Linked DNA regions of Danio rerio. The protein of the gene in region 2 interacts with the protein of the main gene of each other region in a pairwise test. Links are inferred from orthologs where the notes say so. Each region holds a gene or a part of one and is shown on either strand. Other genes may lie near its edges.

What was found.
Region 1: the proteins of irf9 (region 2) and irf1b interact in a two-hybrid assay, tested with the Homo sapiens proteins (2 studies listed by BioGRID and IntAct). The link is inferred for Danio rerio from reciprocal best matches to the Homo sapiens genes IRF9 and IRF1.

The regions. Positions count from the first base shown.
Region 1 is NC_133196.1:49,886,019-49,890,126, reverse strand, and holds the start of irf1b (interferon regulatory factor 1b), read right to left. Parts: upstream 2,820-4,108; 5' UTR 2,707-2,819; intron 1,942-2,706; 5' UTR 1,937-1,941; coding exon 1,850-1,936; intron 1,762-1,849; coding exon 1,662-1,761; intron 1,412-1,661; coding exon 1,203-1,411; intron 600-1,202; coding exon 500-599; intron 363-499; coding exon 261-362; intron 1-260. UniProt on the Homo sapiens protein: Transcriptional regulator which displays a remarkable functional diversity in the regulation of cellular responses.
Region 2 is NC_133187.1:13,875,635-13,879,289, forward strand, and holds part of irf9 (interferon regulatory factor 9), read left to right. Parts: intron 1-174; coding exon 175-287; intron 288-3,243; coding exon 3,244-3,378; 3' UTR 3,379-3,655.

The DNA.
Region 1 (4,108 bases), on a different chromosome or scaffold from region 2:
TATACAATGACTTGCCTAGTTACCCTAACTTTACCCTAATTACCCTAGTGAAGCCTTTACATGTCACTGTAAGCTGAACACTAGTGTCTTGAAGAATATCTAGTCTAATATTATGTGCTGTCATCATGGAGAAGAGTACTGTGTGTGTGTGTGTGTGTGTGTGTGTGTGTGTGTGTGTGTGTGTGTGTGTGTTTGTGTGTGTGTGTGTGTGTGTGTGTGTGTGTGTGTGTGTGTGTGTGTGTGTGTGTGTGTGTGATTACCTGTGGAGTGCACTGGAGACACCTGGAATCGAGAGTAGATGTCGTTGCATGTGCTGTCAGGGCCGATCTCCACCTCATACCCAACAGTAGGACTGGAAGTGTCTGCAGGAGAAGACATGAGAACATCAGACTCCAGCTTCACCGCTCAGTCTGCACGTTTGCATATCTCAGAGTGAACTGTCCCCTTTAACACAGATGAGGGAAGCGTCCTCTGCTGCTGTGGGTCTGAACACACTTACGTGGTGTGCTCTGAGTGCTGTCGATGGTGTTCTCCTGGGTCATTTCTGCAGACGTGTCCTCACTGCTCATGTCCTCCAGCTTTACTTTCTGAGACAGACTCTGAATAATAACACACACACACACACACACACGCGCATGTTCAGATCTTCAGTTTAAACACACACACACACCTGATTTGGTCTGATTATTTGACATGCTCTGACTCTGCTTTATATATGTTTATGTTTGTTTTTCTCTGTTTTGATTGGTTGCTGGCATCTTTAAGGACATTTTTTTGTCATAAGTGACTTTATTTAGATTTTTTAAAATTGTTTGTTTAATCTGAAAAGTTCAAGACATTTACACATTTACCAAAAACATAAAAAAAAACATAAAAATGTCTAATATAAACACATTAATAGATATTTATTATTAAAAAAAATAATAATAAATTTGATTTTCACCAAAATTTAAAAAATTTGATAATAAAAATTTTTATTTACACTAAAATTATAATAATTTGATAATAAAAAATTTGATTTACACTAAAATTATAATAATTTGATAATAAAAAAATTAATTTACACCAAAATTATAAAAATCTGATAATAAAAAATTTGATTTACACCAAAATTATTTGGACAAAAATCCCAGAAATGGGATGCTTGAGGTGCTATACCTGACATATGTGTTGTGATTATTATAATAATGCGCTGCGCTCACCTTCATCCGCCGGCGGGAGTCTCGGCTCTTGGATCTCTTGATCTTCTTGCTGACGGCGGGGAGCATGCGGTAAACTCTCACCGCCCCGCAGCCCTTGTTGATGCTTTTATCCTTCACCTCCTCGATATCCGGAAGCGAGTTCATTGCACAGCGGAAATTGGCTTTCCAGGTTTTGGGGTCAGGCTGAGTCACTCCCTCCTTATATTTACCTGAAATGAACAGCACTACGGTCACATCCACTGCTACTGTATAGTGCACTCAGTAGAGCTTTACTAGAGGTCTTTACAACACTCAACACTGCACATGCCGACTCAACAACACTACATATCTGTTGCTTCTCTAGAAAACGCTTCTTGCTTTCAGAATGTTCAGATATTTAGACTCTATGTAAGTGTTAGTTGCAGTGAAGGAAACACTGACAGCAGTGTCACAGGTATAGATGATTGACAGCTCTCTCACCTGTGTGAATGGCCCACTGCTTGAACAGACAGGCATCTTTATCCACCTCCCAGCCGTGCCGAGCTGCGTGTTTCCAGGGGATGGAGAACATCTTCTCCTCCTGCAAACACACACACACACACATCTGTAAAGCTCTGCTGATGCTGGAACAGTGGCTTCTGATGAGTGTGTGCAGCGCTCGGCTTTACCTTGTTGACCCACATGAGTCCATTGATGGTGTTGGAGTCGATCCTGCTCTCCAGCCAGGGGCGCATGCGCATTCTGGACACGGGCATGACTTCTGCAGCACAGAGACAAGTGTAGGATTAGCGGAGCTGCACATGCGCAGATGAGGAGGCGTGTCTGTGGGCGCGCACAGCGCTGAAGAGTGTGTTTAGCTCACACCTCACCACGAGACACTCTGAGTTATTGTGCATTTGTTAAAAGAAAATTAACTTTAGGAATACTTTTGCATTTGTATTTAAAAGTCTGAATATGTGTGCGTGTAAAAGAGAAACATTAAGATTAATTCTGCATTTGTGGAAAATGATGATAAAGAAGAATAAGAGAACACAGACAGAAGGAAACGGTCATGTTTCTTTTGTATTGTATGTAAAGTGTGTTTCCTTTCAATAAAACATATCAAATTAAAAATAGACATTAAGAGTAAGTTCATATTTGTAAAATAACTATATTAAACATTAAGAGTACATCTGCATTCATAAAAAATAAAAACATTTACAATTAATCTGTAAAAGCAGCAGGAAACGCGCTGCTCTGCTAAACAAGAGTTCAGAAATGTCCATTTAACATGCATTCATCACTGACAGACAGAACTGAGAGTCCTCAGAGGGCAGGATGAACAGAAATCTGCACATTATCCACACACACACTTGATTATTTCAACTCAATTCCAAACTAAATGTAAACTGAGTTAATTAAATGCATATGACCAAATTTAACCCAACTTTCGAGCTTGTCCATATTTCATGGAATTGAAGTGAAATAAATACCCAGCATCATATACAGCATATAAGAACACATCAGGCATAATCACAACACTCACCAATAGAGCGAGGGTAAATCCTACAGTGCAGAGCGCAGCGAGAGTTGGCCGTGTGAAGGCGTGAGTAAGTCCTCAGTGAGAAGAACAGCTGAAGTGACTGTGCTGAAGTTCAGGTTAACTGTACTGTGAGCAGGGCTCTGCTGCTGCTGCTGTATATATAGAGCCGAAGACGGCGCGGGGAATTTTCCCTGCTCTAGCAGGCGCATGCGCACACAGGCAGCGCTCCACACAGCGAGGCTGATTTCCGAGAAATCATGCTGTATAAGAGAGAGACGGACTACGTGCGGAAGACAATTCAGTTTGGATAAACACTCTCTCACACACACACACACACACCCTCAGCATACCACAGCAGCATACTGCACACACGCCCACGCGACACACACATATGCGATTATCCCAAACACAACCTCACAATCATCAGTTACACTTCTACAGCACTGTTCATCCACTCATTCATTTCAGCTTAATTCCCTTATTAATCAGGGGTCACCACAGCGGAATGAACCGCCAACTTTTCCAGCACATGTTGATGCCCTTCCAGCTGCAACCCAGTACTGGGGAATCTCCAACAGTGTGTGAAGTTGATGTATTAGAGCTGTGTGTGTGTAGTGGCTCTGTCACTCTGTGAGTGCTATCATGATTCAGACAGCAGGTTAATTCTGCACTGTTCAGTGTGTGAGTGTCTCGTTATGGAGCCGGTATAAAGTGCAGCGGGTCGGGGTTCAGTCTGCAGAAGTCAGTCGGTTTCCGGGAAATGTTGCAGAGTCTGCCGACAGAGGGCGCCGCTGCTCCGGCTCTGCTTCCTGTAAGAGTCTCCGTTTCAAAGAAACCGTGCTGGAAGCCTGACAGCCAGAAGCGTGCTCAGGAGGGTCATGACGGAGCTGCTGGATATGTGTGTGTGCTGCTCTGTGGTATGTTAGGTTTCGAGATGTGTATTTCTCACAGGCCTCAAAACCGTCCAGAACTGCGAGTGGATTTCATTCATTCATTCATTCATTCATTCATTCATTCTTTCATTCATTCATTCATTCATTCATTCATTCATTCATTCATTCTTTCATTCATTCATTCATTCATTCATTCATTCATTCTTTCATTCATTCATTCATCATGCATTCACATGTATATTTGTTTGTTTTGTTTGTATGCATGTATGATTAACTTTGTGTTTGTCCATTAATTCATTCATTTACAAGCATGTTTGTGTGAACGTTCATTCATTCATTTGAATGTTTGTACATCATATCATTATATCATACATATATTATTCACAAATTATACATTATATTATACAAATATTCATTCATTTATACCTTCATTCATTCATTCATTTTCGTATAGGCTTATTCCCTTTTATAATCTGAGGTTGACACAGCGGAATGAACCGCCAACTTATCCA
Region 2 (3,655 bases):
AGCCATGTTGTGTTTGCATTGTGTGGACATTGGTGAAAAATTAGGAAGTATTAATAAGCAGTAATGTTAGCAATATTGTCAGCAACATTAGCATTGTTAGCAAGACCTGTGACTTAAAACTAGAAGCTTCTTTGTATAATACCAAATTTCTCTTCCTCTTTTTTTTCCTCTCAGAGTTGGAATGTTTCCGCAATGGAGGAAAACAACCTCAAAGTGAGATCATTCTTTGTTTTGGAGAGGAGCTCTTGGAGGGAGATAACATCTCTGATAAACACATCATCATTAAGGTAAATGCGTAATTGATGTACATATATAGATCATTACTACATTTGTCATTTAAGTTAAAGGGCACCAATGATGAAAATTATCTTTTGTAAGTGTGTTTGGACAGAACTGTGTGTAGTATGGTGTGTCCACTGTCATATTAGGGTGAGAAAAAGACAATAAGTCTCTTTTTTTTTATTTCCTGATGATAAATAGGATCCAAATCCAAATCACTTCCCATTTTGAGGCCCACCACAACGTTACGTGGAAGGGCAGTTTCCTCACGCACTGAATTGATTGACAGCCGCATATTAACATGTCTTCAAAGTAACACGTATAAACATATCAACAAGGACAGAATGTGCACAAAGCAACTGGGATTGAGAGATCTGTTCAGCCTGCCGAGATCATCAATCATCTTCAAATGTGATCAAGAATGAGTTTTACAAGTTTAAAACGTTTTCAAAACAGTGCATGTTTGTAATGATTACAGCAATTTTACCATCTTTATCACCACAGCCGCGTGTCAGTACAATTATAAAAGAAAACGCTTCAATCCCAGTTTGTGGGAGTTAAGTCAGGTTTATTTTGTACATTAAAATGACGGATATCCATACAGCAGTGGATATTAACGTGTATCCTGTCACATTTGCCATGTGAAAACAGTGCAAAGTTAAACGCATACACTGTGTGTATGTGCGTGTGAACTTTGTAATGACATTGTGTGTGACTCATCGTTGCGACCCCACAACAAATACAACAAATAATCATTGGGAAAGTTCTTACTGTAGTATTTCTCACAAACGTTTGTGAGATATGCTTCCCTCATGTCTGTCACTGTGCTGTCTATCTGATGCAGCCGAGGCGGAGATTAAGGCACACTCTGACCGGTACGTGGGAACAGTGGGCAGGGAGATCTAGCATTAAAGGCACAGGCAACAAAAACAGCTCCAATTTGTTTAAAGCAGAAAATCCAATATTCTGAAAGGTATTATAGATAATCTGATGGGTGTTTTAAGCTGAAACTTTACAGGCACATTCTGGGGACACAAAAGACTCATCTTAAATCTAGAAAAAGGGGTAAAAAATGTGCCCTTTAATGTTTAAACTGCTATCTTAAATTTGAAGAATTTAAAGAGTAGGTTTAAAAAAAGTGTACTTTCAAACACAAATGATGTTTTGCTCATTGTCTATGCTCCTTGATATAATATAGAGAATACTGATTGATCAACTAAACAAGTTTAAACAACATTGTGATTTGTGACCAATTACTATATAAATATGTAAATAGGATAATTAATAAGACAGTTAACCCAGAAATTAAAATTTACTGAAAAGTAAAGTGTCTAAAAGTCTAAAGTGCATGGCGCAAAAGAATTAAGTGCATGTCCGAATCGCTCTGCACCCTGGTGCATGGTCTAACAGGGTTGTGCTTATTTTTTTATGAGTTGTTGGTGTGTTTTGAGCATAACAGGCATTAAACCAATCAGGATCTCATATCCTATTCCCTTTAAAAGTCAGTTGCGTTGCGCCATGGTGCATTTGCTATTTACATGGCAGACTTTTTAAGTGGAAAAACTAAACACTTTACTACCGAGAAAACAGTTAAACAGACCATCTGCAGCGCGAGGATAAAGAATAAGCCTCCTACATTCTGCCTCTTTATTTTTTCTTTCTCTTGACTTTTAACCACAAAGATTTGTTTAAAACTATATCTTAATTCAATTTTAATTTCCAGCAAACGAACGTTTGGTCAGGGTTATACCCAAACATGCCCACATTTTTAAAAATATTTTAATCCTTTAATTTTTTTCATATGTAAAGATATTTGCGTATTGCTGTACATGCTGCGTGTATTAAGCAGTGTGTACGTGTTTAAGGCATACAACTAACACACTCAATTGCGCAGTCCATTTTAGTTCTTCGAAATAGCAACGCACCAACAATGCGCCTTAACACACCTTTCTAGACCACCACATCCATAAGTGGTGCCAATGGATTTGCTATCTAAAAAGCGTGGAGCAAAATGGGAAAATTGTGCTGGTCTCAAAATAGAAACACATCAGGCCAAACACGTCTTGCACTTTATTGAGCCGCCCGGGTGTACGATAGGACCAGAAGCTGTAGGGGTGTCCCAATTCTCTTTACCTTGAAGGAGTAGGGCTTAGGGGAATGGTTCGATAACCCTTGAAACTGAGATTTTCAGGACCACACTCGAAACCAAGTGCTAAGAAAATTTTCCAGAATACATCATCTTGAGCGGCAAAATGGCTGCACTCAGAAGTCAGGAGATGCACAAATTAGTTTCATAGTAGTTTCAAAATATTTCAAATTTTGCTATCTATAATCCCTAATAACTCCAGTATAGTAGTACCACAACATACTTTCACATCTGTCACTTGATGACACTCGAATACCCTGTCAGAAAAGTCTAGTGGCTGGGAATGAGCTTTTTACAGTGTCTGCTATAATATTAATGTTGTTTTCATATGATGAATAAGGCCTTGATGTAAATACAGTGTACAGTTAGGAGCTTATTGCCACATTATGTCATTATGATAACATGATATCGTTGCCTTCTGTGATTTCCTAAAGATAAATTCTAAAAGAAATCACGCAACTAGAATAATTACAGCAGTCGCTGTCTTCAATCGCTCATGAAGTAAGAGCTCACAATGACATATGATGACCTGTGCAGGTGTAGTAATGCTGTCCCATTTCTTAGGCGTAAAACTAATAGCCCTTACCCTTCACAATGTTTCAAGGCCCCAGGAAAGGGGTACAGGTAAGAAATAGAATAGAGATTGGGCCTTTGAAGAAAGCTGAAAACCTGTAACCCTTGACTTTATGGAGGAATATCTTATTTTGTGTTCAACATTGCTACGTTTAAATATTTAGACTAAAAAATGGAATGAATGTTTAGCTTGGGCCAAATTTAAGGTAAAACTGAAAGAAAATGTCATTATTTGCTTCTTCCAGATATCTCTCCCTTGGGCTGAGGCGCAGATAGAAGAGGTCAAGGCCTTCAGAGAGTCCATTGCAATTCTCAAAAGTCTGGCCAGCCAGTCTCCTACAGGGGAAGTGACACTGAATTTTGTTGAAGTATCGGAATAACCAGTAACAAACTTCTGAGAAAACACTCACTGCATTCTTGACATTATGGATCAAAATCACAAGCAAAATGACTTGAGACAACTAAAAGTAACATTGTCCAGTGGTAGTGAGTGTAAATGCTACATTTATTAGCTGCTTCAACTACTATATAAATATATAATCCTATCGCACTATTTATAAGTAGTTCAAAATGTTATTAGTCAGTGTAAGATTGTGTTTCACTATTTGTAATTTGTAGCACTGTACAAATCTTGTGCTTTAAGAGATTTAATCGCAT